Rattus norvegicus: one gene and its partners. The protein of the gene in region 4 interacts with the protein of the main gene of each other region in a biochemical or structural test. Links are inferred from orthologs where the notes say so. Each region holds a gene or a part of one and is shown on either strand. Other genes may lie near its edges. The genes, in order: Mdc1, Rnf168, Rnf8, H2ax and Ppm1d.

Region 1 (6,192 bases), on a different chromosome or scaffold from region 4:
AGATGTGGAGGAGGACAAGACTGCACTGGCTGCCCCTCCAGAGAGAAGCCACACAGCCATGGTGATCAACAGTGATACAGACGAGGAGGAGAGGGGTGAGGAGGAAGAGGTCTCGGCAGCACTCACCTTGGCCCGTCTGAAGGAGAGAGGAATTGCTTTGTGGAGTGGAGAGCCAGGCACAGAGGAGGTCAAGTCCCAACCACAGGTCCTTGTAGAACGAAGCCAGAGTGCCTCTGGGAGAGACAGTGACACTGACGTGGAGGAGGGATCCTCAGGGGGAAAGAGAGAGATTGTCCCTGACAGCCCCATGGATGTAGATGAGACTCTTACTGTCACACAGCCAGAGAGCCAGCCTCCCTGTAGGCCCAATGATGTAGACGAGGATGTGGATATGAGCTCCCCTGGCAGCCATCTAGAGGGAAAGAAGGCCTCCTCTGCTCTGGTAGACAAGAACAGAGCACAAGTGGAGGAGGAAGTCCCAGGGCCATCTGTTACCCTGGGGGAGAAACACCAGGTGCCTCTAGAGGGAGCCCAGCCTCCTGAGGAAGCCCGGGAAACAGCTGTGCAGGAAGGCTCATCCTCACCAGTGGCAGACATAAGAATGAGCCAGCAGCCAGTAGCGGAAGATGCTGGGACAGAGTGTGCTGCAGCTGTTTCTGAACAGAAAAGTGCTCTTGAGGTCGGGGCTCAGAGCAGGTCACCTGCAGCACCCGTGGAGCAGGTGGTGGTACGCACAGATACTTCAGGGGATCCTACCCTGCCACAGAGAGAGGGAGCCCAGACCCCCACAGGAAGGGAAAGAGAAGCACATGTGGGCGGGACCAAGCATGCCAAAGAGTGCTGTGATGGTAAGTGTTGCCCTCTGCTCTGCGTTTGACCCTTAAATAAGGCTTAGGAGAGAACTGCAGGAGTCTTCGGGATGAGTTGATTTTTATTTGTCTCTCATCTCTTCCCACCAGAACCTGAGGATCTGTGCCTTTCAGCCACCCAGTGCTTTGTGGAAGGGGAGAGCCAGCACCCAGGAGGTGAGGACATTGTGTGCTTTGGATGGGAGTGCCAGGGAGAGCTGGGCGATCAGACCAGTGGTCCTTGAAAGGCGATGTGGCCAAGTAGGGGGATGGGATTCTGGGACAGCTGCGTTGTGCCCACCTTTTCTTCTACAGCTGTCCAGAGTTTGGAAGATGAGCCTACCCAAGTCTTCCCATGCCTTCCCCAAGAGCCTGGACCTTCCCATCTCAGCCTCCCGACTCCAGGTACACGGAAGTCTCTGGACCCCCAGCCTTGCATCCTTTCTTATTTTTCCCTCCACATCCTTCATATGCTGTCTTGTTAGATTTACCTATGCTGATCTTCCAAGTGCCGGGATTATAGGTGTGTGTCATCAGCTAGGGATGGACTAGGACGTCATGAATGCTGGATGAGCTCTCCCAACTGAGCTGTATTCCCAGCCCTGCCTTTCATATTCTTTCCCTATTTTACTGATGTTCTCCATTTCATCAGGAAAAGAAACTTATACCAGACATGGGGACACACACTGTCTCCCAGAACTTGGGAGACAGAGGCAGGAGCTCAGGGCCATCCTGGACTGCATAGAAAGTTTGAGGCCTTGACTAAATGAGAACTTGTCTCAGAAACAACAACAACAAAATCCAACAACATGGGCATGGCTCAATGGTTAAGAGTGGCCATTGTTGTTCTAGAGGACAAGAATTCAGCACCCATGTCAGGCAGCTGGCAACCACCGGTGACTCCACTCCTGGAGATTCATCGCTCTCTGTGTACCCACACACATGATATACGTATGAATAGAAAATTTTAAAATACATGTTAAAAAAATAAATAAAAATGAGATTGCCTAGATTATCCTGATTCTAGTTCAGGAGATTTAGGTTGGCCCAAAGACTCAAATTGGTTTTCCCTCTACATTCTCCTTAGAGTTTGAACCCAGGGTTTTACCTGTGACAAATGAGTATTCTCCTAAGATGAGTGTTTTCCTAAACCACATCCCCAATCCTTGTTTTTCAAATGAGCCTCCTGAGGGAGCCTGTGTATGAGGTTATAATCTTCTGAATAGCAGCAACATTACAGCCACTACCCTACTCCCAGATTTCCTTTTGTAACCCATTTAGCTGTTTGTGAGTCTGCCCTAGTTCTCAGCCTTAGTGATTTTGTTTACCCATGTACTTACCTCCTTTTTCTGATCCTTGTTTAGGTGCAGATACCTTGGATGTGCCTTGGGAAGTCTTGGCTACACAGCCGTTCTGTCTGAGAGAACAGACAGAGACCTCTGAGCCCATTGACACCCATGAAGCTCATGGATCTCAACCATCTCTACCTGGGGAACCACCAGGACACCAACATCCGGTCCCTACCAGCCTAGATCACACAGAGCTGTTGAGAATTGATGACAGAGAGATGCAGACTGTGGAGAAAGCCATGGGTATACCAAAGGAAATGGCAGAAAGGGTGACCCCTGAGAGAGAGCCATTGGAGAGGGAAATCGGAAAGAAGAGCAAACAGTGAGAGAGAAGATATGATAGGAAAAGAACTAACTCAGGGGACAGAGGACAGAGTCAAAGAAGGTGTTAGCTAAAGACAGTCAGAAAAGAGGCTGGCGAGGACCCTGAAGAGAAGAGGGAGAGTTTGGAGGTAGAAATGGAGATGTCCAAAGACTCACAGAAGAGAGAGAGAAAAGCAGAGAAAGCAGAACCAGAGAGAGAATGGGAGTTTAGAAGTAAGCCCAGATAGAGGGGAGACAGAGGAAGGGAGCCATGAACAGAGAGGGCAAACTGCCAGTCTAACACCAAAGCCTGCTGGGGTGAAGGATCTTGAGGGTCTTGCATCAGCCCCAATAATCTCTGGGAGCCCAGGAGATGGAGGAAAGGGAGACCCTCTGAGCCCCAGGAGGCAGCGGAGAGATAAGTGTGAGGCAGGGGCAGCCAAGTGGGATGTAGTCCTTGTGGCAGTCAGGGTCTGACCTACAGCTGCACAGCGCTCAGCCACTCTTGCTTTACTCTCTGACCAGGCCACCTAAGTTGCCAGATGATGCCAGATGGAAAGGCTTCCGGGGTGAGCTGCTCTCTTGTGCCCTACTTCCCCGGCAGCCAGTTCACTACATGTCCATGTGTGCATGTGTGTGAGGGTGTGTTTTTGGGGGAGGTGCATGAGGGAGCCAAGTGACAGCTTTGTGTTGTTGTTCAGGGACTACCCAGCCTTTTAGCAGGGTGATGGTCAGGATCTCTCAAACTGGCTTAGAATATGCTAAAGTAGACTAGACTGCCTGCCAGCAAGTTCCAGGAATCCTCCTGTCTCCTCCCTAGCATTGGGATTCTGAGCATATGCCACTATACTTTGGGTTCTAGAAATGAAATTCAGATCTTGGTGCTTGCCTTGCCTACTGACCTGTCTCCCTGATCCCAGTTTTCTTATTCATCACTCATTAGTTGGCTTCCATTCCTGTGTCCTGCCACCCATAGTTCCCTTTTTTGACCCAGAGGTCTCTGTTTTGTCCGTCTTTGCCCCAGGCATGTCTTAGTTGTCATACTCACCAGTGCACATAAGATATCTTCCATAAGGTATCCATAAGATTGCTTCCTTCCCCAAGGAGTTCCTAGCCTAAGAAAAGTTACAGAAAGAGACATGCCCGTGAGTGCTGTGACCATAAGTAGACTCAAACCTGACACGTGAACAGCCCTTGGAAGTAAAGATAGAAGAATCAGTGGAGGACGGTGGAGTTACATGAGCTATGACTTCCTCAGAAATACTGAAAAAACTCAAGATTCTTGCCTGCCTCTCCTAGTGCCTTTTGTCAGTTGCTTCTCCTTCTCCTCCTCAGGATGACCCAGAGCCCTCAGACCATCGCCTGTTTTCTCCAGTGCCTGAAGCTTCAGCTTCACCTCAGAGTCTCCTCACCTCTCAGAGCCAAAAGCAATCTACACCTCAGCCTATGTTTCCCACTTCTTCTTCTGAGCTAGCCCTTCCTGAGACTCTTCACACAAAGCCTAATGTCAGGCCACGGCGGTCCTCCAGGATGACCCCCTCCCCACATTCCTCTGCTGCCCTTAAGCCTTATACTACCTGCCCCACAAACCAGCCTGCTGCTTCTAGGCCAACATCTCGCCCCACTCGGGGCAGGGCAAATAGGTCCTCTACCAGGACCCCAGAACTGATTGTCCCTACAGGCCCTGAGCTCCAGCCTTCCACCTCCACAGAACAGCCTGGCATTCCAAACCTCACTTCTCAGGTCACTGAGGGCAGGGCACATAGTACCTCTGTTAATATGCCTGAACCAGTTCTCACAGGTCCCGAAGCCCAGCCTCTCACCTCCGCAGAACAATCTGTCACCTCAAACCTCAATCCTCGGGGTAGGCAAAGTAGGTCTTCCGTCAAGACCCCACAACCACTTATTTCCACTGGCCCTGACCTCCAACCTCCCACCTCCACAGAACAACCTGTCGTACCTAAATCCACATCTCGGACCACTCGGGGCAGGCCACCTAAGTCTTCTGTCAGGACCCCAGAATCAGTTGTCCCCACTGGCTCTGAATCTCTCACCTCCATAGAACAGCCTGTTATCCCTAAAACCAGGGCCGCTCGGGGTAGATCAAGTAAGCCTTCTATCAAGACCCCAGAACCAATTGTCCCCACTGGTCCTGAACTGCAGCCTCTTACCTCTGCAGAACAGCCTGTCACCCCTAACCTTACATCTCGGGCCTCTCGGGGTAGGTCAAATAAGTCTATCAGGACCCCAGAACCAGTTGTCCAAACTGGCCCTGAATTCCATCCATCCACTTCCTCAGAACAGTCTGATACCCCTGAGCCCTCATCTCAGGGCAGGACACGTAGGTCTGTCAGGACTCCTGAAGCAAGTGTTTCCACAACCCCTGCACTCCAGCCTTCCACTTCTAAAAAACAGCCTACCCCCAAGCCCACAGCTCTGGTCACTCGGGGAAGGACACATAAACCCTCCACTGAAGGTTTGGAATCAGTTGGGCCAGTGGCACCTGATTTTGAGCCTCCCACCTCTACAGACCACCTTGTTACCTCTAAGGTGACAGGTCAGAGCTTAACACTACAATCTTCACCTGTAAGTGCTTCCCCAGTTTCCACTACCCCTGAACTCAAGCCTCCTGTCCTCATAGCCCAGCCTCTTACCCTGGAGCCAGTTCCACAAACCAGTCACCAAAGGAGGCGAAGGGCTACTGGGAAGCAGGGCTCCCGCACAGCTCCTGTTGGTCCTAAGTCTTACTCTACCCCCGCTGAACCTGAACCCCAGTCTTCAGCCAGCCAAAGCTCAGGAGCATCAGAAGCAGGTGAGTTCATTACAACCACTCCTGATGAGTCTGCCATTCCCTCGATGCATAATGAAGCCCATTCCTACGGCTTCTGGAATCCAAAAGAAGCCTTCCATTACCACAGATTCACCCCATCAAAAACGTCCCCGAAGACAAGTCACCCAGAAAACTGTAGTCGTCAAGGAAGAAGATCCTGGAGAAATACAAGTGAAGGAAGAGGTAAGAGGAGAGCTGGGGTCTCCCTAGCTAGGAGCAAGGGCTACAGGGCTCAGAGATGCCCACTGAGATGTTTTTCAGCCTCAGGAGACAGCAATTCCAACACCAGGCAAGAGAAAGAGGGACCCTGCAGAGGGGGAAACCCAGGGAAACCCAACTCGAAGCCGGCGAACTAAGCCTAACCAGGAAGCAGCAGCCCCCAAGGTAGGAAACAAGGGCCAAGGATTGGTGGATGGGCGCTATGCTGCTAGTATGGGTTGCTGTGACCATCTTTGCACCCCATCCCCTGCCCCAGGTACTGTTCACAGGAGTGGTGGATTCTCGTGGAGAGCGTGCAGTGCTGGCTCTAGGAGGCAGTCTGGCCAGCTCAGTAAATGAGGCCTCCCACTTGGTTACTGATCGCATCCGCAGGACAGTCAAGTTCTTGTGTGCCGTGGGGAAGGGAATTCCCATCCTGTCCCTGAACTGGCTCTATCAGGTAAGCCAGAAGATGATGCGTGGCTGGAAAGGACTGCTCGTTTAGCCTCCAAAGAAGGAGTGGGAGGGAGGAGATGTAGAATTGTGTTAGTGAGGCAGTGGGCTGCTTTGAGGAAATACCGTAAGGGCTGGGATGACTCAGTGGTAGAGCACTTGCCCTGCATGCTTGAAGTCTTGGGGTCAGTCCTGAGGAATGGGAAGGACA
Region 2 (6,192 bases), on a different chromosome or scaffold from region 4:
TAGTGTGATGAGAAGGAGACACTGAGGATGGTGAGTGGGTTGAGAGGGAGACACTGAGGATGGTGAGTGGGTTGAGGAGACACTGAAGATGGTGAGTGGGTTGAGGAGACACTGAGGATGGTGAGTGGGTTGAGAGGGAGACACTGAGGATGGTGAGTGGGTTGAGAAGGAGACACTGAGGATGATGAGTGGGTTGAGAGGGAGACACTGAGGATGGTGAGTGGGTTGAGAGGGAGACACTGAGGATGATGATGGGTTGAGACACACTGAGGATGGTGAGTGGGTTGAGAAGGAGACACTGAAGAAGGGAATTTGGAGCCACTTGTACCTGCTAATTCTAGTTTTCACATGAGGTAGAGTAGATTTATTGAAGTTTTAGGATTATTGTTGGTTTATTGTAAAATTTTAGAGATAGGTAAACAATTAATGACTTATTTCTGTGTAATAACTTTTGCTCTAGATATATTCTTGGCTCTTTAACTAATATTTTCCACAACAGAGTAAGGTAGCTACAATTGCATGAGACTGTCAGGCTGACGAGGTAGCTCAGTGGTAAAGAGTGCTGCTTACACTCAAAGAACCCCAGTTTGATTTCCAGTACCCACATGTCAGTTTACAGCCGTCTCTAACTCTGGTTCCAGGGTATCCAACATCCTCTTCTGAACTCCCCAGCTATTCGGCATGCATATGGTGCAGACATGAACTGGTAAAATACCCATACACATAAGTAAATCTTTTTTAAAAAAACAAAACAAAGCCATGAGATTATCAGATAGAAGATTAATTAGTATCTTCATTTCTTTGAAAGAGTATTTGTGTGTGTGTTGTATTTAATTTTATGTATCTGATATGTGTGTGTATAAGGTACAATTTACATATGTTACATATGTAACATGACTAGATATATAGTAATAGATGCATTTAATTTAGCAAACTTGAATAGGCTTAATTTTGTTTATAGAGGTATACCTCTATATTTCAGTTAATTTTGTGATCTATCATACATACAAAAATCTAAAGATGATCAAATCTTACATAAAACGGCATAGCTTTGCATATAACCTAAACATGTCCTCCTGTATGATTATTTTCACTACATTTATGTGTTTGGCGAGTATGTATGCACGTGCACATGCGCTTACACGAGCAATCAGTAGACAACTTGTGAGAGTTGGTTCTCTGTTTCTATCTTCTTGATCTTAAGATGGAACTCAGGTTGCCAGACTTAGTAATGAGCACCCCTAACTGATGAACCATCTTGCCTTCCATGGACTTTAAGTCGTTACTTATGATCATGTAAATGCTATATGGATGCCTGTTGCAAAATAAAGTCTTGGGAATGAAAATGATGTATATAGATACTTGGTGGTCTTTAAATAACTTTACAGAATCTAAGTTAGGGACTAGAGTGATGGCTCAGTGGTTAAGAGTATTGATTGCTCTTCCAGAGGTACAATTTCCAGAACCCACATGTCAGCTTACAACTGTCTCTAACTCTAGTTCCAGGGGCTCTGACACCTTCACACACACATACAAGCAGGCAGAAGACCAATGTACATAAAATAAAAATAAATTATTTGTCTTAATTGGTGTTTTACTGCTGTGAAGAGATACCGTGACCAAGGTAACTCTTATAAGGACATTTAATTGGGGCTGGCTTACAGGTTCAGAGGTTCAGTCCATTATCATCAAGGCAGGAGCATGGCAGCATCCAGGCAGGCATGGTGCAGGAGGAGCTGAGAGTTCTACATCTTGTTCCAAAGGTAAACAGGAAAAGACAGGTTTCCAGGTAGCTAGAAGGAGGGTCTGAAAGCCAGTGACACACTTCCTCCCATGAGGCTGCACCTTCAAAGAGTGCCACTCCCTGGGCCAAGCACATTCAAACTACCACATTATTTTTAATTTTTTTAAATTAAAAAGAATTTTGAGTTAATACAATTCAAAGCTTTCTATTTTTCATCAAGTTCTCCTTAATAAAATGTCTTTGTATGTGTTTCTTGTTACTGAAGAACAGTAACTACGAGAGAAATATCTTGGCATCTCCTTTGAGTTCCAGAAAATCAGATCCCGTCACAAACAAGTCACAGAAGAAAAATACGAACAAACAAAAAAACTTTGGAGATATTCAAAGGTAAGTGAATATGACTGTCATTTATCCACTGATCGTCTACTGTATGTAAGCCTTTGGGTGTGTTCATATTGACTACCAAGTCTTTAAGGTTTGTTAAGGAGCTTTGGTTTTGTCTTTTAAAGACTTACTTATTTACTTATTTTTATGTGTTTAAGTGTTTTGCCTGCATGTAAATGTATGGAATGTGTGTCTGGTGCCCTCAGATGCCAAAAGACAGCACTGGAATCCCTAGTACTAGAGTTATGGGTGTCTATGAGGCAGTGTAGGCACTGGGAACTGACCCGGCTCTGTATCAGGCATGGCAGCAAGCACGTATACCTGCTGATCATCTTGCCAAAAAGCTGTTTCAATGGAAAGCTTGAGCCAGTCAGTGAGTGTCGCACACCTTTAATCCCAGTACTCAGGAGGCAGAGGCAGGCAGAACTTTGTGAGTTGAAGGCCAACCTGGACTACAGAGCTAGGTGTAGGATTGTTCTAGTTCTGTGTAGCCTAGGCTACACAGGGAAACCCTATCTCAAAACAAACTAAGAGCTGGAGAGATGGTTTACTGGATAAGAGCACTTCTTGCTCTTTCAAAGAACCCAGGTTTAATTCTTGGATTTAAATCAGGTGTGGTGGCTCCTAAACCACTCAAGGGATACCATGCATTTTTCTGGCCTCTACAGACCATGAATACATATAGCATACAAACATACATAAAGTAAACATTAAATGAATCTTTAAAATGTGGGCTGGATCTGGACACAGTGGGGCATATACATGTGCACACCTTTAATCCAAGCATTTGGGAGGCAGAGGGAGGTGGAGCTCTGGAGTCCAGGACAGCCAGGGCTACATAGAGAGTCCGAGTCTTGAAAAAACAAAACAAAAGCTTCTGTTTTGTTTTTTTTTTTTTTTTTTTTTTTTTTTGGTTCTTTTTTTCGGAGCTGGGGACCGAACCCAGGGCCTTGCGCTTCCTAGGTAAGCGCTCTACCACTGAGCTAAATCCCCAGCCCCTTTTTTTTTTGTTGTTGTTGGCTCTGTTTGGTTTGGTTTTGCAGCCTTGGCTGTTCTGGAATTCACTCTGTAGATCAGGCTAGCTTTGAACTTATAGAAGTCCACCTGCCTCTGCCTCTCAAGTGCACTACCACTGCCCAGCTAAAATCAATCAATCAATCAATCAATCAATCTCTTTTTCTTTTTCTTTTTTTTTTTTTTTTTTTTCTTTTCTTTTTTTTCGGAGCTGGGGACCGAACCCAGTGCCTTGCACTTGCTAGGCAAGCGCTCTACCACTGAGCTAAATCCCCAACCCCCCCCCCTTTTTTTTTTGAGGCTAGCCTGGTCTACAAAGCTAGTTCCAGGACAGCCAGTGCTGTTACACAGAGAAACTGTCTGATAGAAAAGAAAAAGAAAAATGAAAAGAAAGGAAACTTTTTAAAGTAACAATGAGGACTGACAAGGTAGCTCCATGGTAATCTGTGTTAGTTCCCTAGAGCCCGAGAAAAAGAGGGGACAAAGAACTCCACAAAGTTGTCTTTGGAATGCACACACACACATACACACACACACACACGTGCACACACTGTGGCAGTCATGTGCTAATAAACATCAAACCCCTTATACACACACACAGTAATAAGTAGTAAGAGATGAGATGAGAAATGGAAGTCTGTATGAGAGAGGTGAAGAAGAGGCCCTGTAGGGAGGGAACTTTATAACCAGACCTCCTCCCAACACACAACATTAAACCAAGTAGTGCGTGTGAGAGTGCGCCAAGCTCAGCAGTGTTTCCTGGGGATTTCCGCATGGCCAGAGACCCTTTGGAGTAAGGTAGAGACTATTCGTACAAGTGTCAAGTGTTGTGGTTCATGAATCCCCATACATGGAAGACAGAGGCAGGGAGAGCTCTGTAAATTTGAGGGTCTCCTGTCTTGGAGACCTTTTATAGAATACTATCTCAATTTTGGAAAGAAGGAGAAGAAAGAAAGAAAAAACCTCTTTCCAAATGGTCCCATATTACCCCCTTCTTGCTGTCTTTCAAATTCATGGCCCCTTTTTCATTAATTGTTATTACGTGCATATATGTATGCTTATATACATAACATATTCCTAAATACAATCTGATCAGTCTTTATATTGTTACTTATAGGCATGTCTTCAGCAATGATCATTTGATACTGGAATTGTTGGGCTTTTCCCTTAGGAAGAGTATTCCACTCTCAATGTTGCTTGTTTGCTTGTAGTTCTTTGTTTAGGGTCAAGGCTTTGCAGGCTTTCCCCTGTCTTTGGCATGTCAAAGCTGAGTAATTATAATCTCAAAAATAATATATACACACAGAAGTTCACATGTCATTCACTCTGGTCTTTTCCAGTGATATTCCTTTCCTATTACTGTGTTTTATATGGTTCTTAGATGTGGGCACTACTATTCTTTCATAAGCTGGTTTTTTGTTTTGTTTTGTTTTGTTTTGTTTTTGAGACAGTCTCTCTTCTTTGTGTAGCCCTGGCTGTCTAGGAACTCACTCTGTAGACCAGGCTGGCCTCAAGTTTAAATATCAGAGGCCGGGGGGCTGGAGAGATGGCTCAGTGGTTAAGAGCACTGACTGCTCTGCCAGAGGTCCTGAGTTCAAATCCCAGCAACCACATGGTGGCTCACAACCATCTGTAAAGAGATCTGATGCCCTCTTCTGGTGTGTCTGAAGACAGTTACAGTGTACTTATAAGAAAGAAAGAAAGAAAGAAAGAAAGAAAGAAAGAAAGAAAGAAAGAAAGAAAGAAAGAAAGGAAGAAGGAAAGAAAGAAAGAAAGAAAGATCAGAGGCCGACAGATCTGTCAGCCTCCGCCTCTACCTCCACCTCCTGAGTGCACCACCACTGCCTGGCCATAAATAATTTTTTTTATGCCTTATATATTTCCTTGATAAGATCTTTAAAAAAAAATCACCAAGGACTATGGTTGCTTTTTTTTTTTTTTTTTTTTTTTTTTTTTTTGGAGCTGGGGACCGAACCCAGGGCCTTGCGCTTCCTATATGGTTGCTTTTTAAAAGATGCTTCGAACTAGGTGTGATTGATGAGACATAGTCCCACTTATTCTAAAGGCTAATAAGTAAGACAGGAGAACTTGGGTTTGAGCCCAGCCTGGGCATCGTAAGTGACCTGGTAAATCCTTGTCTAAAAAGGAGAAGGCAGAAACTGCTGAAATCCACGTTTTGCGGTTGGTAGCGGTGAGTGAGGTGGGGTACTGCAGAGCCCTTTGACACTTCAGATTGCCAGGAGAGCCTTAAGGACTGCTTCCTGCAGCCATCTTGAAATCAAGTTCCAGAGGAGAAACAAAGTCATCAGAGGAGGATAATGAAATCCTCTCATCTAAATTTGGGGTGTCAGATGCCTCTATGGTTCGTGGTGTTGAAAGAAGAGCATACATCATGTGTCAGCTCTTGTACTAATTGCCACCAGTAAACCTTTTTTACCATAGGAGAGAATTGGTTTAAAGTAATAACAAATACCTATTAACATGTGTGAGAACCTGGATTCTTGCTGGAAGAAACAATTAAAGCCATTTTCTCACGCTTTTATTGTAAGAAAAAATAATAGCCAAAAATTCTGGCAAGACATAATAGCCTCCTCTTAAAATAATGATTTATTATTATTGTTGTTATTTGGGTTTTTTTTTTTTAATTTTTTTTTTTTTTCGGAGCTGGGGACCAAACCCAGGGCCTTGCGGTTGCTAGGCAAGCGCTCTACCACTGAGCCAAATCCCCAACCCCTTTTTTCTTTTGGTTATTTTTTGATATAGAATTTCTCTGTGTAACCCTGGCTGTCCTGTATATTTTTGTGAATTTTGAGAAACTTTATGGTCTTCCACTGTTTGATCCTATCAGCCTTTTAAGCCCTTTTCAAGAATTATGAGATATTTAATATGACCTCGTCTTTCTTTTTGTTTTTACACTAAAATACAGTACTGAACCCTCCCTCCATCCCTTGCTGTGTTATGCTGCAGGAAGCTTGGGCCTCCAGTGTGCTAGCCAGGCAGTCTCAATGTCCTGAAATACTCAGAGTTCAAATTTTATCTTACAGTTGTCC
Region 3 (6,870 bases), on a different chromosome or scaffold from region 4:
GGCATTAGCAGGGGGTCTAGTGTTTCCCATTCGATTGCAGCTGACCCTAGGCTGGCAGGGGGCACCACTGAAAGGAATGTCAGATTGCATTTCTCATGTTTCAGCTTGAATCTTCTATTTAGAGGCCGGGTGCAGAGGCATAGAAGATAAAGGAGTCAGATTAAAGGTAGATCCAACCAGAATGGAGAGCCCTCAGTCCTAGCTCCCTGCTCCCACCAGACACGCACAGGTTGACTCATCCTGGGAGAGGGAGGAGGATATCACCCTGAAGTCACCCTGCAGTTTCCACAAACCTCAGGTGTCTGCCTGCCTCCTCCCTCCCCCTAGCTCTAGGATAGGTAAATGCAGGCTTCCCTTGTAAAGCTGGCGTGTGAAGCAAGAGAAGAGAACAGAGAAGGCAGGACTCAGACACACACATCAAGACTCCTTTTTTGCCCAGCTCGGTCTTTCAAGAAAAAGCCTCTGTCTCGCCTCCCCCGAGCCCCATGCAGGGAAACCCGATTCACATCATTAGCGGGAGCTGCAACCCAGTGACCCACCCCTGCTCGCAAAAGGGAACGGCTTGGTTTGGGTTTTTCAAAGACATGTCTTGCTCGGATGCAGCTTATAGATTAAAAAGTCTAAAGCTTAAGGAATGTCTTTATAATATTACACAGCTTAAAGAGAGAAAAACCTTATTTTTTATGTCTCTTGTGTAACAGAGGGTAGAAATGTCATAGATGGGGCTGGAGAGATGGCTCAGCGGCTAAGAGCACTGACTGCTCTTCCAGAGGTCCTGAGTTCAAATCCCAGTAACCGCATGGTGGCTCACAACCATCTATGATGAGATCTGATGCCCTCTTCTGGTGTGTCTGAAGACAGCTACAGTGTACTTATATATAATAAATAAATAAATCTTTAAAAAAAAATAGACAAGTACACAGCTCCTCCTTCAAAACCCTGGAATTGGGGTTGGGGATTTAGCTCAGTGGTAGAGCGCTTGCCTAGCAAGCGCAAGGCCCTGGGTTCGGTCCCCAGCTCCGAAAAAAAAAGAAAAAAAAAAAACAAAACAGAACAGAAATATGATAAGAATATGTTTTTGTTTTAGTCCCAGGTGTGGGATATGGGGCTGCTCCAGGACGTCCACAGCAGCTGACTGTGATTTGCTTCATGCCCTAGCAGGGGTGTGATTTTTTTTCCCATTGGCAGAGAGTCTCTGTGATTATGTGACATTTGGGATTCTGGGGACTTTTCAGAGGGTGGAGAGACAGGGTGGGTTTTTGGTTAGTTGCTATTGGTCTTGGTTTGTTAAGTAGTTGTGCGCAAAGGAGAATGAAGGAAGGAAGGAAGGAAGGAAGGAAAGAAAAGAAAAGAAAGAAGAAATCTATCCTGATGGCAAAGATCAAACTCAATGCCCCTAATCAACAGGAAGTGTCTTAACAATAGTATCGTCCCTCTTCCTTTCGGTCTCCTTCCTTTTCTCTCCTATCTGGTGTTAGGGAGTTGAATGGGTGTGAAGGGTGGAAGAAAGAACCCACAAAGTAGCAAATGTTAGCTACAGTTTTCATCTTACAAGTTGGGAAACTAAGGCGTGGGGCAGTCAAATAGCTTCCTCAGCACCTATAGTAAATAGTAGGCTTGGGATTGGAACTCACGAAGCCGGGTTCTGTAGTCTGTATTGCCTCACTGTGCTACAGTAGCCTCCAGTCCACTCTCAAGTCCAGGGAGCTGGTCACACACAAACCACCTCCGTACTTTCACAGAGATAAAAGAAAGAAAAAAACAAAACAAACAAACAAACAAAAAAACGGCAGGCATGAGAAATGGCACATCGATTAAGATGAGCTGCTCTTCCAGGGGACATGGGTTTGGTTCCCAGAACGCACATGGTGGCTCAGGACCCCAGAACTCCAGTTCTAGGGGGATCCAACAATCTCTACTGGCTTCTTCTGCAGGCATCAGGCATGCACTTGGCTCAGAGGCATACACGCAGGCAAAACACCTATAATGCAGACATTAAACAACAACAACCAAACTCCTGGGTGGAGAGATGAGGGAGAGTATCCTCTCCCCAGCCCCTTCAAGGCCATTCCCATTCATTCTCTACCCCCCCCCCCCATGAGCCCCAGGTAATGTGATCCATCTCTACAGATTTGCCTGGTATAATTTTTTAAAATTCATTAACAAAATGAGGTCATGGAGAGAGAGAGAGAGAGAGAGAGAGAGAGAGAGAGAGAGAGAGAGAGAGAGAGAGAGAGGCTAAATAGTAACTAGACCAAATCAACTTTAAAATGATCAGAGTTTTATAAATCAAATAAAATAGTTATGGCCACCATCAAAATGTAGTTATGAAGCAATTTTTGCTTTGGTGACACGGTCTCATATCCCAGGCTGGCCTCTTAACTCATTGCATAGCGGTGGATGCCCTTGAATTCCTCGTCCTCCATCACACCCTGCCAAAGAAAAAAGGGGGTGGTGGGGTGGAAATCAGAGGTTCCAGTTCATTGATGCAGCTTCTGGGGTAGTAATAGCTTTGGAGAGCTCGGGGGAGGAAGATATTGGGAAAGTCATTATATTCACAAACCCAAGGAAAGACAGTGCCTCTTGTCATTTACTACGATTTTATAATTTAGGTGTTTATTCGTGTGGGCACACAAACCCGCTAGGCGCGCATGTGGAGGTCAAGAGGCCAATTTGAAGAGTCAGTTTCCCCCTGCCACCACGTAGGTGAAGCCTGAGCATCGGACTCTTGACTCGACGCTTGGCAACAAGCAACTTTACTCGTTGAGCCATCCTCCAAGCCCTATGATTTACATTTTACGGTTTTGGGGGTTGGGAGACACAACCTCACTCGGAGGCCCTGGCTGAGGTAGGTCAGCAGAAGACTTTAAGCCCGCCCTTTCGGACTCAATACCTGCGCTCTCCCCGCCCTCCGCCGCCGTCGCCCTCCCGCTGCGCACGCGCAATGCCTGCCTTCCTAGCCCAGGGGCGGGCCCGCGCTCGCCGCGCCACCGATCTCCGGGCGATTGCTTCTGTCTGGTGTTTAGGTATGGTGCGCGAGAGGCGCCTCGGAAGCGATCGGAGCCCAGGCTGGAGTTTGGCTGGTTACTGAAAGTTGCCCCGGTGCCGAGCGGGCTATGGGCGAGCCCGACCCCTTGGTCTCGGGGCAGCTCGCGGCCCGCCGGAGCTGGTGCTTGCGGCGGCTGGGGATGGACCGCGAGTGGCTACAGCTGGAGGCTGGGAGTGAGGTGAGAGCGAGCGGCCTGGCAGGCTACGGGAGCGGGAAGGCTGAGGAGCGGCGCCGCGCACATCCGATCCGGCCTGCCCGGAGGCGCCGAGGCCTCAGCGGGCTCCAGGCCACCTCAGGGCTTGGAGGGACCCGGCCGCGAGGCCAGGCGAGGCCGCGGCTTGAGGTCGGGGCTGGAGGGCGGCTGCGCGGGAGCGGGGCCCGTGCGGGAGCCGCTGTAACGGACGCGGGCCTGCCAGCGAGGAGAAGGATGGGGTCGAGAACAGGCACGGTCCCCGTTAAGGGTCTCTTAGAGTCTTGCGGTGACCCAGCTGAGACGGGGAAACTGAGGCAGAGGCGTCCCCACTGACTCCAAAGGATGGGGAGCCTGCCCAGGGAGTCTGAAGATGGACTGCGTAGACTCTCGGAGTTGATTTTAAGTGCGATCGCGAGTTTAAGGGTAGCTTGCTTAAAACCCTCGAACTGTAATGTAAAATATGTAAATAAATAAAGTCTTCCACTCCATCTCCGAGGGTAATTGGCGAGCCGGCGTGGACCACGGTTGCATTCCCAGAGTCCCGAAGTGGGTTAGCCTTCTCTCCAGAAACTGCTCACAATATTTGATAATGCAAACTTTAGGGGCTGGTGCTGTATCCCGAACCCAGGGTCTCGTACTTGGAAGGCAGGCACTCTACCAAATGTATCTTCAGCTCCATACATGCAAAATTAAAAACAAAGGCCAAAAGGGGAGGCACAGTTTATAGGCGGGAGGGAGGTGCTGGGGCGGACTGCGTCCTTGTAATCAGTTCTGGAAAGGGAACTGGGTCAGGGACGAGCTTGCAATGTAGAAACCCTTGGGGTGCAGTACTGAATGTTTGGTCCTGTGTGCTGACTGGTCTTATGTCAAGTTGGCACGGAAATTAGAGTCATCTGAAACGAGGGAAACTTAATTGAGAAAATGCCCCCATAAGATCTGTCTGTAAGGCATTTTAATTAATGATGGATAGTGGTGGTGCCATCCCTGGGCTGGTGGTCCTGGGTTCTATAAGAAAGCAGGCTGAGAAAACCAGTAAACAGCACCCTCCATGGCCTCTGCATCAGCTCCTGTCTCCAGGTTCCTGCCCTAAGTTCCTTTGATGATGTTCTTCAATTCAGAACTGTAAGCTGAATAAACTCTTTCCTCCCCAACTTGCTTTTTTGGTTATGGTGTTTCCTTGGCAAGAATAGTAACCCTAAGAGATCATCTAAGTTACATTCAGTGAATTGGTAAGGTTAGAATTTCTGATAAGCTGTATAATTCTCAGTTGAGAGACAAACATAGGGATTTGTGACTTGAACCAGGGAAAAAGTATTTTCACAGCGAAGGAGCCTGAGACCATCTGGGTTGGCCAGGGTCTTGGGTTATTTAGGAATATTCTAGAGCAGGTCCTGCTTTAAGTTAGGCATCAGAGGGCTGCTTATTTTTTTTACATATGAGGTTTTTTCTTTTTCTTTTCATCTTTATTACTTAATCTGATCCGTGAGCATTTACTAGTCCCTCACAAACCTGTAGGGGAACTTGATCCATTAAGTACTGACTTAGTCTCTGAGACTCCGTCCCTTGGGCTAATCCATTACTCCCGAACTGCTCCTCAGACTCAGAGTAACAGGGCACAAACACTACTGGGCGTGTCTACGCAGTGTCACCGATCTGTGTGGAATTACATCTATGGGGCAAGGCCCAGACAAACCAGGAGAAAGCTGAATCTAGGATTGACTCACCTTGGCGGCCTGTGTGTAAGGGAAGCCCGCCCAGTGACTTGCAAAGTCCGGTTGTTGGCAGCATGTGGAGCGTAGTCTGCAGAGCGTGTGGAGTCGGAGTCAAACCCTGGATGAGCTCTGACTGTGGCTCTCAGGTGCTGGTACAGGTGGGTTTGCGGAAGGTTCTGAGAGGTGCGCCTGGCATCGGCCAATCCTAACAGCTAAAGCCGGTTAGTTCCTGCCTTTCCAGTTTCCCTCAGAGCTTCACTGTGCAGATAAAAATCTAAAAACACTAGAGATCTCCGTATCACACAGGAGCAAATTATCTGCCTTTAAGCTTCCTGAACCAATCGGGATAGTTTTGTCTAAGTACAAATGACCGGGGGGTGGGGGGGTGTTGATCACAGGTGAGCCCCTTGCAGGCCTGCAGGGAACATCGCCTTCCGCCGCCCGCTTGCTTCTCTTGTGTTTGGTTCCCTTGACTCTACCCTGAGTGAGCTGGAAAGGGAAAGGGGTGGGATAGCTCCCGAGAGTGTACTGGTTCTCTCAGCATCAGAGCCCTGCACAGGAGGATCGGGCTGGTGAAAGTGGTTGAGAAAACAAGGGCGTCTAAAGGACTGGAGGTGGAGCAGCTGTCATGGGGAGCGGTGCTGACGTGGAACCATTGTGAAGCCCAGGACAGCGAAGCGGAGGGAGGACAAGGACATTTCCCCTCTCTGGATTCTAAGTCCATTTCAGAGCAAGGTGCTTCTCTCCCTGATGGCAGTCAGGCTGTCTCCCATCGCGTCAAATGGATATGGAATGCTTCCTATAAAACAGTTACCAGAGACGGGAATTGTTGGTGAACACGGACGGGATGGCAGACGATCCCTAGACACCGCATCGCCATGCTAGTCCTTGGACCTGGGCAGTCTTCATGTGAAAAAAATGTGTATGTATGTATGTGTGTGTGTGTGTGTGTGTATGTATGTATGTGTGTGTGTGTATGTGTGTATGTATGATATGTATGAGGGTAGTTATCTGCATGCTGCAGTGTATGTGTAAGGTCAGAGGACAACGAGTCTGTCCGTTCTCTCCTACCGAGTGGGCCAAGATGTTGAACTCAGGCTGTCAGGGTTGGTAGCAAGTGCCTTTACCCACTGAGCTATCTCGGGGTCTGCCCCCCCAGTTTCCAACTTCTGACATAAAACAACACTCAAATATCGCCCGTTTTGGAATCTGGGCCTATCCTATAGGCAGGCGGGCGTCCTCTCCCATCCCCACTTCCTACTGCTAGGGTTCTGGGCACACCTACCACACAGGGTTCAGGCAACACCCCTGTGTTGTCAAGTATCTGCTGTGTAGTGGGTCAGAAAGCAGTGGGGATGAGATGTGCACTCTAGGAAGCAGTGAGGGCAGGATGGACAGGTAGGAGGGACTTTAGGGCTGTGCTAAGTGTATGCTGGTAACGTGAACTTCGTGAACTGTGTCTCACCACTTGTAGGTGAGTGTAATTAGTGTGGGCCCTGAGCGGGTGAGTCTGGGAAGAGGAGTTTACGGTTCTGAGGAAAGCATTTTAAGCAGAGCCCAGTGTATATGAAAAGGCCCTCGGTCGACTGGAGTGTGGATAGCTTTAGGTTAAGTGGGGTTTGAAGACGAGAGGTGATCTGACCTTTTCTCTATCCGCTCTGTAGCTACTGTGGGAAGAGAAAGACTCAGAAAGGAGCTGAAAGCCCAGGACTAGGTGGACTGGAGGTGGCAGTGAAGATTCCCAGGGCAGAAATGACCGCAGGATAGGATTAGGTACAGTTAGGGTGTGGGAATGAAGGACTCACAATCAAAGGTGGCTTCTGTGTTCTCAGCTGAGGTCTAACTTGATGGTCAGGTTAGTTACAAGCAACTAGTAAACTAGGCCCGCGCTGTCACTGGTCTTTAAGGAGCTCGAA
Region 4 (5,814 bases):
GCATTGCTGAAAGGGCTTTTCTGAGGCACCTGGTAAGATGGGTTCCTCCTATGGTGTTGTGGGGACTTGGGAAACCAAGAAGGGCAATAGGAAGATTTCTCAAGTACTCTGTATGTAATGTTTTATGTGTGGAGAGGACCTTGGTCTGGTCCCAGCAGCCTTCTCAGTTACATTCTTAAGAGGTTTGTGGTCAAAAGAGCTCAAAGGAACATATATATCATTGCAGGAAGGAGGCTGTAGCGTGCCAGTAGCAGTGCATACAGTGATGAAGGATGGGCAAGTAAGCTGGGGAAAATGGATGAGGGGGAGGGACTGGCATTTCCATGTACACCCAAACATCTAAGCAGCTTTCTTTATACTGGTACAAACATTTTATCTCCTAGCTGTACCTGACTGGTGGAGTCTGGAGTCTAGATGGCTCAGATAGCATGCAAGAGACCATGCAGGCCACCATCCAGGTCCCTGTTCAGGTACTGACTGGGAGATGAGGGAGGAATAAATATAACTGCTTTTAATCTTCTCACCAAAATTATAACTCCTGTCATCCAGCAAGAAGATGGTCCAGAGGATGACCCACAGTTGGTTGGAATCACTGCCCGGAACATTCCAAGAGGAGCCCAGCTAGCTGCTGAGAACCTGGGCATCAGCCTGGCAAGCTTGTTGCTCAACAAAGGAGCTAAGAACATCCTAGATGTTGCACGGCAGCTTAATGATGTGCGCTAACTGGCCTGCAGGGCACAGGAACCGAACCCCAGCTGTCACTCCAGTGCCTATGTCTGGCTGTCAAGTGCCCTGTGCTCCTTAACAAGGGGAATGATTATCCCAGGAGATTGAACCAGAGTTGTTGAGACTTCGGCCTTGGAAGATATGCCTCAACTTGGGGCCTCCATGACTGCCTTTCCCTCAGTAGTTTGTGGGCTTCATCTCTTTAGAGAAAGTCCATGCCAATCTTTTAATGTAACCAATGCCACTAATCAGTTCAGAATGTGGTTCTCCTGGAGTTGGGGGAAGATATGAATAAACCCAAAGCCCTTTTAAACCTGAATTCTGAGTCTGGGACCTTTCTGTTGTAAAACATCCTGATCATTCTCAACCAAGCAAAGAAACTAGCCTTCATCCCTACAGCCTGCCTGTCTTTAGTTAACAGGATCTTCACATAGCCTTTCATTCCCAGTGCCTGCAGAAAGGAAGGTAAGTTTATCCTCTAGTCCCACTCCCTCCCACGAGATGTTCTGGGCACATGGCTCCTCGACTATGGAGCTGTAAATGTCCAGCCCTGGGACTACAGCATTCAAAGTTAAGTTAGGCATTCAAAATTAAATCAGACACTCCGTTTAAAAAAAAAAAACAAACCAAAAACGATCCTTTAATAAAATTAGCCCATTGAATCTCCCCACTTCTTAAGGTTCTAAACTTGTAATAGCTGCAAAAGTTCCAGTTCAGAAGCCAGAGGCTCAGTCCAGACAGGGATTCACCGACTTGTGCTGGTATCTGGGTGTTTGGGTTGTAGTTTGAGTTAAGGGAGAGGGATAGCTAGGCCCGGCTCCTCTAGTCTTCTGCGGCAGGTATACAATTCTTCTGTCCACAGGCCAATAGGCGTTCCCTGACCCTTTCCAGTTTATCTTGGAAAAATTGGCTTCACGTTATAACATGCCGGCCTACAAATGACGACAGGGTCAACTGGTTTGAGAGGCCAGTAAGGGGGACACAGAGTGAAACAGTATGATCCGCTTCTCACCAAAGTCCGGCAATCAACTCACTTCTGAAAGGTCCAGGAGAGGGCTAAGCACCAAGCTGAAAACGCTGGGGTTGTAGCTGCGGGGGGGGGGGGTGGTGGTGGTGGTTAACTAACCTTCAAGCCCACCTCGGCCGTACGTCATAGCAAAGGGCCGAGATTTCTGGAAGGTGGAAGGTGCCGCAACCTCTCCGCACAGCCCGTCGACGACTGAGAACGGCGAAGCGATGTCACGAGCTCCGGGATGGGTAGGTGCCCCGGCGCCCGCGTCCTGTGGCAGACCCGGAGGCCGCACAGGGAAGGGTAAAGACGCGAGGACTGAGAGGAGAGAATGGGATGGGGACGCGGCGGGCCGGAGCCCGAAGTGGCTCAGCTCTTTCTGTGAGGGAGGTGGTGGCCCTTAAAAGGGCCTTTGTGGAGGTGGGGGAGGGCTGGGCAGCCGCGGCGCGGGCTCCCTCAGTACTCCTGAGAGGCCTGGGAGGCCTTCTTGCCGCCCGCCGGCGCCTTGGGCCCCACGGTGGCGCTGGTCTTCTTGGGCAGCAGCACGGCCTGGATGTTGGGCAGGACGCCGCCCTGCGCGATAGTCACGCCGCCCAGCAGCTTGTTGAGCTCCTCGTCGTTGCGGATAGCCAGCTGCAGGTGGCGCGGGATAATGCGCGTCTTCTTGTTGTCCCGAGCCGCGTTGCCCGCCAGCTCCAGGATCTCGGCAGTGAGGTACTCGAGCACCGCCGCCAGGTACACGGGCGCGCCTGCGCCCACGCGCTCGGCGTAATGGCCTTTCCGCAGCAGTCGGTGCACGCGGCCTACCGGGAACTGAAGGCCGGCGCGCGAAGAGCGCGACTTGGCTTTGGCGCGGGCCTTGCCGCCGGTCTTGCCGCGACCCGACATCGTGTGCGAGGTAGAAGGGCTGAGAAAAACGCCAGGAGACAAACCGCCAACCGCCGCAGTCAACTGTCGCCTCGCGCGGGCAAGCTCGCCCTTATAAACTCTCTGGACACGCCCCCGCTTCCGCCTAATTGGTTCTTTTTTTAATACCCACCTCTGGTTGGTTGCAATTAACCCTTCGGTGACGCGCCATAGCCGAGAGAACGCGCTCAGCGATTGGTCCAATTTGAAAACCTTTTACCCGGGGAAGAAGACAAGGCGGAGTGGCTGCAAGCCAGAGGCGAATCACCCTTGGAAATGGCCAATCAGTATAGAGCGCGCGAAATTTAAACGCTACGGCGCGCCCACAAACCCGAAGACTAGAAGGGTGGAGCTTGGAGCTACCTCTATGGTTTCTGGGAAATCTGAGCCGGCCTGTGGTTTTAAAGGAAAAGGGTCTTCACTGTAAGCACCTTTCTCCTTCCAGGTTAGGGCACTTCCTACTCCCTCCTCTAATCTGGCAAAGGGAAGGGTTTATTTATTTGCTTGTTCTTTATTATTATTTTTGGGTTTTCGAGACAGGGTTTTTCTGTGTAACTCTGGATGTCCTGGATCTCTCTGTAGACCAGGCTGGCTGCGAATTCTGAGATCTGCCTGCCTCAGCTTCCCAAGCGCTGGGATTAAAGGCGTGCACCACCACCATCTGGCTTTTATTTTAATGAGACAGGGTTTCTCTGATTAGCCCTTGGTGCCCCGGAACTCAGAGATCCGCCTGCCTCTGCCTCCCTTGTGCTGGGATTAAAGGCTTGGCTGAAAAGGGAGGGTTTAAAATGAAAGAAATGAAACCTTCTGAGAGTTTAATCCTGTGCCAGAAAACGGAGCACCGTTATCCATTATGCTATCACAAGTTTGTGCTGTAATATTTATTTGATATGTTCTGTCTGGTCTCAGTATGTGACAGACCTCTCTTACAAGAAAGGGTCTGAGGGGAGCAGGGGTAGGGATCCTATTGGAAAAGGTACCCACTCTAATCCTTTCAATCTATTCTAAAATGCCTATATAAAAAAATAAATATGTCGAGCTTGGGATATAGTTCAGTGGTAGAGCATTTAAGTATAAGGATGCCCTAGGGTTCAATAAGAACCTCAAAGGTTAAAAAGAAAGGAGGAAGGAGTGGCTACACCTAGAGGAACAAGTAAAAGGCAATCCTTTATTGTCACCATTCTGAGCACATGGCCCTGCCTCTGCTCTTCCTAATCAGAACACTTAATTTGATAGTCAGATGTGAGGTTACCTTGGAGTATGTTGCCCTAACTCTAGCCCTAGCCCAGGTTCTCTCTCAAGGCCCAGGGGATTCCTTTAGAGTTAGGGTTCTGAAAGTTGAGCCATGAATATTTGCATAAAAGATGCTACAGGCCCACCTGGTGAGGCTGCAGAAAGGGAGGGAGTAGCAAACTCAAGAAAGCATAGGCAAAGTCCAACTAGTGGACGTCAAGTCCACTAAGGAGTCCATCCAGGATGTCAGTAGTCACAGATGACGGCAGAAGCTGAGCCTGGACCAGAAGGCGGTCGGAGCGGACAGAGGTGGGTCCTGGCTGAGGTCCAATGGAGACTGTGTGGTAAAGGGCAGTCGTCAGGGAGCTCAGACATCATAGAAGAGTCGGACGAGCTGGTAACGAATGGAGAAGGTGACAGCGCTGCTCAGAACCTAGGAAAAGTGGACTGGAATTGGAACCAAGGCTGACCAGAGACATAAACCCCACTGTATTACTAAGCCCCACCCTCGGCTGTACCTGCAGGAGCAGCAGGAACAGTGTGAGGTTTCTCTCATGTGTAGGCCCAAAGACTTTAAGTAGCAAGTTGATGAGGGTCATGTTGTTACACTCAGTGAAGGCACCATCCTCACTCTCCCCTCGGTGAACTGTCACCAGCCGGAGGCTCTCTGCTACCTGCAGGGACCAGAGGTGAAGACAACTTCAGGTGCACAGATCTACTTCACAAATAGGGCCCTTCTTGATGTTTCCAAACTCCCCTTGGGCCTGAGAAGGCCTAGGTTTCTCTTCTCCCAAATTAAGGATGGCGGCCTGGGGCCTTACCTCCTTGTTACCTTGTTACCTTTAAAATAAACGTGCCCAAGAAAGAGAGGCTCTTGGTCTTGAACTTGGAATAGCTCATCTCCAGTTTGCCTGTCTTCGTATTGAGTCTGCAATGGGAAGATGACTTCGTTTGAATGACTCAAAGAACTCTGCACCCTGTGGTTACTAAGAAGAGTACTGAGCACTTAGGTACTGAAGTCGGTTTCTGGCTCTGATGCTTGCTTCTGGGTCATCAGCTGTAAGCATCACACACTATGTAAGTAAGCAAGTGTTGTAAATTATTTTTTTTTAAAGATCTATTCATTTATTACATATAAGTACACTGTAGCTGTCTTCAGATACACCAGAAGAGGGCATCAGATCTCTTTACAGATGGTTGTGAGCCACCATGTGGTTGCTGGGAATTGAACTCAGGACCTCTGGAAGAGTAGTCAGGTGCTCTTAACTGCTGAGCCATCTCTCCAGCCCAAGTGTTGTAAATTATAATGGGCTACCCACATACAGTTACCTCTTCTTTCCCCTCACTTCTTTCTACATAGGAAATGCATAAATTGGCGTTAGCTATCCCAAGGCAAAAGCTATAATGACCCTTTAAAGCCCCAGAGTGGCTACCTGGGCATACGGTGTCGAGGGCAGGGGATGATCTGAAAGAGCTGAGGCAGTGAGTAGAGGAAATTGAATACTTGTGGCATAAAGAAGAGCAGCATGGTCTTGCTGAAGTGTCCCAAGATTCCCACCACGGCAAAGGTCATGCCAGCAAAATAACAGAAGGTGTCTCCCACAAACACCTGAGACGGGTACCTGTATGGGAGAGAGGGTCTGAGCCAATGGCAAGAGTTGTTACTGACTCTTTCAATCAGTCACACTCAGCAGCAGGCCAGTCTTGACCCTATGTTCTAAAGGGAAGGCTGTTCTAGAAACTCTGTAGGCGTCAAGGCCCCAGATTCATTGACTCCTGGGAGCTACACAGCATTTGTTCCCAACTACGGCAGGGTAGACAGGGATCCATGCCACCACTAGGCTGCCGGAGTGTAGTTTACTGATAAAGCAGTTGGCCAGCATGGACAAGGTCATGAATTTGATCCCCAGCACTCTGGTAGGGTGAGGGGTGGTATCTAA
Region 5 (5,445 bases), on a different chromosome or scaffold from region 4:
TCATGGACCCTCATGGGCAGCTTAGCTGACATACACAACAGAAAACAAAAGCAAAATGACACCTGAGCCGTGGCATACAAGCACCTGCACTCACACACATGAATGTACACACACACACACACTTTTGGCATCGTGTCGTGCACACGTAATCCTAGTACTTGGGAAGCTGAGGTGGGACTCTCAAATTCAAGGGCAATACGGAGAGTTGGAAATGATTGTAAGGCTACATAGTGAGACTCTGTCTCAGAAAAAGAGGGGGTTCTATTACTATGCTCACTGAGGTCCCTTCATGACCTGTCTTTTCAGTTGACATCTGGTGTCTAATGTTCACGGGATGGGAAATTACTATCTATTTTTCCATTATGGTATGATTGCTTTTAATATTGTACTTCATAGTTCCTAGATGGATAATAGTCACAGATTTTTTAGAACACCCTGGAAAATTTTCACTTATAGTTTTAAGATCGCTAGTTTTAACTAGTTTTTGTCAAGAAGCCATTTATAGGGCTGGGGATGTAGGGTTCAGCTGATAGCTCGCCCAGCAAGCATGAGGCCCAGGCTTGATTGAGTATATAAGATGAGTGGGTCTCTGCAATCAGCACTGTAAAGTAGAGGCAGGAGAATCAGGAATCTGCGGTCATCGCTAGTTATAAAGCAAGTCCAAAGCCAGTCTGGGTTACATGACACACTGTCCCAATTTTTTTTCTGAAAAGGCCATTGAGAGGCATCAAGACAGTGCTTGCTGCCTAAGTTCAATGCTGGGGTCTTCAGGGTGTGAGGAGAGATCACATGTAACTTGCCTCCTGACCTCTACATATGCATACTGTTTGTGCATGCTCATATACACACAAGCTTTTGAGAAGTTAACAAAAATTTTAAATTGCATTTATTTTGTGTGTCCATATTTTCACACATACATGCCATGGCAGGACAGTAATATAAGCCTCTAGGTCTTAATGCAGTCAATAGAAATTTGGTCCTTTTCATCCCAATTGTGTCATCATTATGCCACATAATTAAAATTGAAAACAAGCATTATTTGATTAACCAGAAAGTTGGGATGTCAGCTTAAGTTTGTCATGGGCTTGTGTCAAAAAGCAAGGATTTTATGTAAAATAATTAGAGCTAGTTCATCAGTAGTATATTACTGTACATAAAATTCAAATACAGAGTTTCTGCTGGCAGTGGTTTTATATAACTTTAATTTCAGCACTTAGGAGACAGAAGCAGGCAGATCTTAAGAGTTTGAAACCAGCCTGATATAGCAGGATTTGGGGCAGCCAGGGCTTCAGTGAAAAATTCTGTCTCATCAAACAAACAAACAAACAAACAAACAAAGTAAAATATAGAGTTTGGGTAAAGAAATTAAAATATCAAAAGCAGTAATTTAGCCCTTTTCTGCATCTGGGCACAGAGTGCATGTCTTGGTAGAGTGTGTGCTTGTGGCTGTTTTAAGGGGTCTGCTTTGAAGCCTTCAAGTATTTTACTTGGTCCCAGCTGTAATTCAGGAAGACCTGTGAGCACATGGTTTTCTCCCCTTAGGTACATGATGCTATCTCTTGTGATGAGATGGGTTCCTTCTGGGTTCCTTTGTACTGACTCCTTTCTTTGTAACCCTCAACTTAGTGCAGTGAATTTACGATGAAGGAAAGTGAGTGCATGCCTTGCTTTTGCCATCTGTTTGTTTTTGAGATAAGTTTTCTCTGTGTAGCCCTGGCTGTGTAGAACTTGCTTTGTACACCAGTCTGGCCTCGAACTCACAGAGATCCACCTGCCTGTCTTCTGAGTGCTGGAACTAAAGGTGTGTGTTACCACTGTCCAGCTGGTTTTACTATCTTAATAATGTCTTTTTTTTTCCTTTTTTTTTTTTTTTTCCCGGAGCTGGGGACCGAACCCAGGGCCTTGCGCTTGCTAGGCAAGCGCTCTACCACTGAGCCAAATCCCCAACCCCTCTTAATAATGTCTTAAGAACTTACTGTCTGTATCAGTTTATCGAGCATAGGATAAATATTTATTTTTCCTTTTTTTCCCCCCAGTCACTGGAAGAAGATCCATGGCCAAGGCTGAACTCTAAGGACCATATACCTGCCCTTGTTCGCAGTAATGCCTTCTCAGAGAAGTTTTTAGAGGTCCCAGCTGAGATAGCTCGAGGAAGTATCCAGACTGTAGTCATGACCTCAAAAGACTCAGAGACACTTGAAGAAAATTGCCCCAAAGCCCTGACTTTAAGGATTCATGATTCTTTGAATAATACTCTGTCAGTTGGCCTCATGCCAACCAATTCAACAAATACTATCATGGACCAAAAAAATTTAAAGATGTCAACTCCAGGTCAAATGAAAGCTCAAGAAGTTGAAAGAACCCCTCCAGCCAATTTTAAAAGGACATTAGAAGAATCCAACTCTGGTCCCCTTATGAAGAAGCATCGACGAAATGGCTTAAGTCGAAATAGCGGGGCCCAAGCTTCGAGTCTCCCCACAGCATCCCAGCGCAGGCACTCTGTCACACTGACCATGAGGCGCAGACTCCGGGGCCAGAAGAAGATGGGGAATCCTCTTTTACATCAGCACCGGAAAACAGTGTGTGTGTGCTGAGGTGGGCCTGGGAAGTGGGGATCTCCCTTCCTATGACTTGAGGGCTTTTTACATTTGGTGCCGAAGTTGAACTTTTTTTAAGGGGACAAAATAAAGAGTATACAGTTTGACTTTTTGGAATTTAACAGTTTTATTCTGGCCTTGTACTTGCCTGTATTATAAATGTGAAATTTGTAGATGTAGGGAATAAGTTGCTGTAAAATGTGTGTACATTTGTATCCTTCACACAAATTTAGTCTCTTATTCTGACACACAGTAATTGTGACAACAGGGCTAATGTTGAAGAAAGGTCAGAAGAATCTTTACGATTTTAAAAATGTCTTTAAAGTTTTTAAAATGCTTATTACACACTTGTATACACCCCTTGTGAAGAACACGTGACTTTTTAAAGAAAATTACTAAGCAAACTGGAAAAGTGAAGTATTTTCATAGTGCTCTGTGCTCCACTTAATGTTTCCTAGGGACCATCAGTGTCTTTTTAAAATTACATTTTATTTCACATTTCATAATTCAGAAGTAAACCTTTCATAGGAAAAATACTGAGCTGTGCTAATGTAGCTGATTTTAGTCTCCTTGTCCCACTTACACTATGCAGTATCTTGTAACTTCAGTAGCATTCTTCTAGAACAGTACATCTGGTGTGCTTACTGAAATCTCTGGCACAGATGGCGGTGTGTTTGCCTAACACACCACTATCTGTCCCAGACCAGTGGCATTAGGCCATATAGTTACTCTCTTCTAGTGTTTGCTTAAAATACGTGAAGTTTTTCTTGCTATTTCAATAACAGATGGTGCTGCTAATACCCAACATTTCCTAAATTATTTTATATCATACAGGCTTTCATTGGTTATATGAATATGTCTATCCAATAAATCAGTGAACTATTGCCCTTACGTTGCTGGCGTTTTGTTGGTGACTCTTCACAGTAGGTACCAACAGTCAGATATGAGATATACCTGTGCTTTCTTGACTTGAAATACATACAGTACTCATTTTTTATTAATACAGAACACAGACATGAACTAAAATGTCTAACAACATGCTTCACTTACAGGTTCTAAGTGTTCAGTAAAGCTGTGTCTCCTTTGGTAATAGAATAAAAGCTCAAGGGAAGTACTGAAGCTCTAAGATTCTATAAATGTGGTATGTGTACAACTGTGCTTCTTAAGGAACATCTTGGGGGGTTGGGGATTTAGCTCAGTGGTAGAGCACTTGCCTAGGAAGTGCAAGGCCCTGGGTTCGGTCCCCAGCTCCGAAAAAAAAAAAAAAGAACCAAAAAAAAAAAAAAAAAAGGAACATCTTATCTTAAGCCCTTAATTTGGAACAAGAAACCTCATTGAGGGCTTTGGATGTGCTTGAGTTGGGTGAGTGCTTGCTTCACACACAGGAAGCCCTAGGCTAGATCCCAGCACTGCAAAAACTAGAGGCAGGAGGATCAGAGATTCAAAGTCATCCTTGTTACAAAGTTTTAGGTCAACCTGAGAATCATGAGACCGAGTCTGAAAATAGTAGTGTATAAAACAAAACCAGGGAGACAAATGAGGAGCAGGAGAGATAAAAGGACTCGGGGTTTAGTGTGAGGGTTTACGTGATTGTTTGCTTAACAGGTGCAAAGCCCTGCATTTAAAAAAAATTATTAGGGGTTGGGGATTTAGCTTGGGGGTAAAGTACTTATGGCCCTGGGTTTGGTCCTCAGCTCTGGTGGAGTGGGGTGGGGGAAGAGAACTTCATTAGTATGTGTACGATTAGTTTGCCTGCATGGCAGTATGTGCAGCACGTATATGCTTAGTGCCTGTGGGGGCCTAAGAGGGTGTCAGATCTCGTGAACTGGACTTAAAGGCAAGTTGTGGACCAGTAAGTAGGTGCTGGAAATAAAAAAAAAGGGGGGGGGTTGGGGATTTAGCTCAGTGGTAGAGCGCTTGCCTAGCAAGCGCAAGGCCCTGGGTTCGGTCCCAAGTTCTGAAAAAAAGAAAAGGAAAAAAAAAAAAAGTACCTCAGGAATACCAGCCAGTGTTCTTAACTTCTGAGCTATGTCTAGCCATAAGACCTTGCATTTGATCCGTAACACTAGAAAAACAAACACTGGCTTGGATATGCTATGTTGCCTACTACTTTTGAATTCTGTCTCTCTGGATGGCACTATTGAAATACTGAAACCTAGGTGGACCCACTAGGATGGCTTTCGGGATCCTCTTATAAAGGGGATTATAGGTCTCTTGGTAATTACTAAATATGCTAATTGTATAAATTAGTTGGTTTCATTGACATGTCTTCAAAAAACATACCCTGCAATTTTAGGTCTGTCTTTCAGCTGTTATCTCCTCATTTCTGCCACTACCAGGTCCTGAATGGTTCCTGAGTTAAATTCTTTTGATTGTTTGACCTTGGGTCTGTAGGTTTGTATTTTTTACCAAATTTAGGTATCTTTCAGCTATTAACTTTTCCTAGCGCACCCCCCCCCCCCTTTTACAAACATCTTCTTGATTATGAGTTGCACATCTCGCGGCCCAGTCTGGCTCATCTCCCAGCCCCCTCATGTTCACTCTTCTAACTTGCAACTTCCCCCACAAATAAAAAAACCAACCCCCCCAAAACAGAAACCATCTCATCATGGAAGCTATAGTGCGTCTCAGTGTGTCCCACAGTATACCGCTCTGTCCACATCTTCACTTGCAAATGTTCATTGCAACGAGTCATTGGTCTGGTTTGAAATCTCTGGCTTCTGTGACACCATCAATATTGGATTCTCATTGGGCCTCCTGGTTATCCTGTTGTTGCCCCGTGTCTGTGCCATGGATATCCTGCAGCTTTGGATCAGCAGGACTGGCCCTTTTACATGTCCCAAATGTT

Evidence for each region.
Region 1: the proteins of H2ax (region 4) and Mdc1 form a complex in vitro, tested with the Homo sapiens proteins (5 studies listed by BioGRID and IntAct, with this or other methods). The link is inferred for Rattus norvegicus from reciprocal best matches to the Homo sapiens genes H2AX and MDC1.
Region 2: of the proteins of H2ax (region 4) and Rnf168, one has a biochemical effect on the other in vitro, tested with the Homo sapiens proteins (2 studies listed by BioGRID). The link is inferred for Rattus norvegicus from reciprocal best matches to the Homo sapiens genes H2AX and RNF168.
Region 3: of the proteins of H2ax (region 4) and Rnf8, one has a biochemical effect on the other in vitro, tested with the Homo sapiens proteins (2 studies listed by BioGRID). The link is inferred for Rattus norvegicus from reciprocal best matches to the Homo sapiens genes H2AX and RNF8.
Region 5: of the proteins of H2ax (region 4) and Ppm1d, one has a biochemical effect on the other in vitro, tested with the Homo sapiens proteins (3 studies listed by BioGRID and IntAct). The link is inferred for Rattus norvegicus from reciprocal best matches to the Homo sapiens genes H2AX and PPM1D.

Annotation. Positions count from the first base shown.
Region 1 is NC_086038.1:2,903,718-2,909,909, reverse strand, and holds part of Mdc1 (mediator of DNA damage checkpoint protein 1), read left to right. Parts: coding exon 1-848; intron 849-959; coding exon 960-1,025; intron 1,026-1,163; coding exon 1,164-1,253; intron 1,254-2,212; coding exon 2,213-2,440; intron 2,441-3,025; coding exon 3,026-3,069; intron 3,070-3,835; coding exon 3,836-4,364; coding exon of another isoform or gene 4,365-5,141; coding exon 5,142-5,312; intron 5,313-5,418; coding exon 5,419-5,513; intron 5,514-5,591; coding exon 5,592-5,714; intron 5,715-5,805; coding exon 5,806-5,988; intron 5,989-6,192. UniProt on the Homo sapiens protein: Histone reader protein required for checkpoint-mediated cell cycle arrest in response to DNA damage within both the S phase and G2/M phases of the cell cycle.
Region 2 is NC_086029.1:81,998,111-82,004,302, reverse strand, and holds part of Rnf168 (E3 ubiquitin-protein ligase RNF168), read left to right. Parts: intron 1-2,009; coding exon 2,010-2,131; intron 2,132-6,192. UniProt on the Homo sapiens protein: E3 ubiquitin-protein ligase required for accumulation of repair proteins to sites of DNA damage. Acts with UBE2N/UBC13 to amplify the RNF8-dependent histone ubiquitination.
Region 3 is NC_086038.1:7,680,933-7,687,802, forward strand, and holds the start of Rnf8 (E3 ubiquitin-protein ligase RNF8), read left to right. Parts: upstream 1-3,032; 5' UTR 3,033-3,116; coding exon 3,117-3,227; intron 3,228-6,870. UniProt on the Homo sapiens protein: E3 ubiquitin-protein ligase that plays a key role in DNA damage signaling via 2 distinct roles: by mediating the 'Lys-63'-linked ubiquitination of histones H2A and H2AX and promoting the recruitment of DNA repair proteins at double-strand breaks (DSBs) sites, and by catalyzing 'Lys-48'-linked ubiquitination to remove target proteins from DNA damage sites.
Region 4 is NC_086026.1:53,565,595-53,571,408, reverse strand, and holds H2ax (H2A.X variant histone), read right to left. Parts: upstream 2,692-5,814; 5' UTR 2,624-2,691; coding exon 2,192-2,623; 3' UTR 1,337-2,191; downstream 1-1,336. Other genes in the region: Hmbs (porphobilinogen deaminase), read left to right, coding at 1-32, 227-280, 384-470, 550-723; Dpagt1 (UDP-N-acetylglucosamine--dolichyl-phosphate N-acetylglucosaminephosphotransferase), read right to left, coding at 4,242-4,307, 4,393-4,548, 4,715-4,802, 5,308-5,496. UniProt on the Homo sapiens protein: Variant histone H2A which replaces conventional H2A in a subset of nucleosomes. Nucleosomes wrap and compact DNA into chromatin, limiting DNA accessibility to the cellular machineries which require DNA as a template.
Region 5 is NC_086028.1:70,702,543-70,707,987, forward strand, and holds the end of Ppm1d (protein phosphatase 1D), read left to right. Parts: intron 1-2,036; coding exon 2,037-2,594; 3' UTR 2,595-3,488; downstream 3,489-5,445. UniProt on the Homo sapiens protein: Involved in the negative regulation of p53 expression. Required for the relief of p53-dependent checkpoint mediated cell cycle arrest.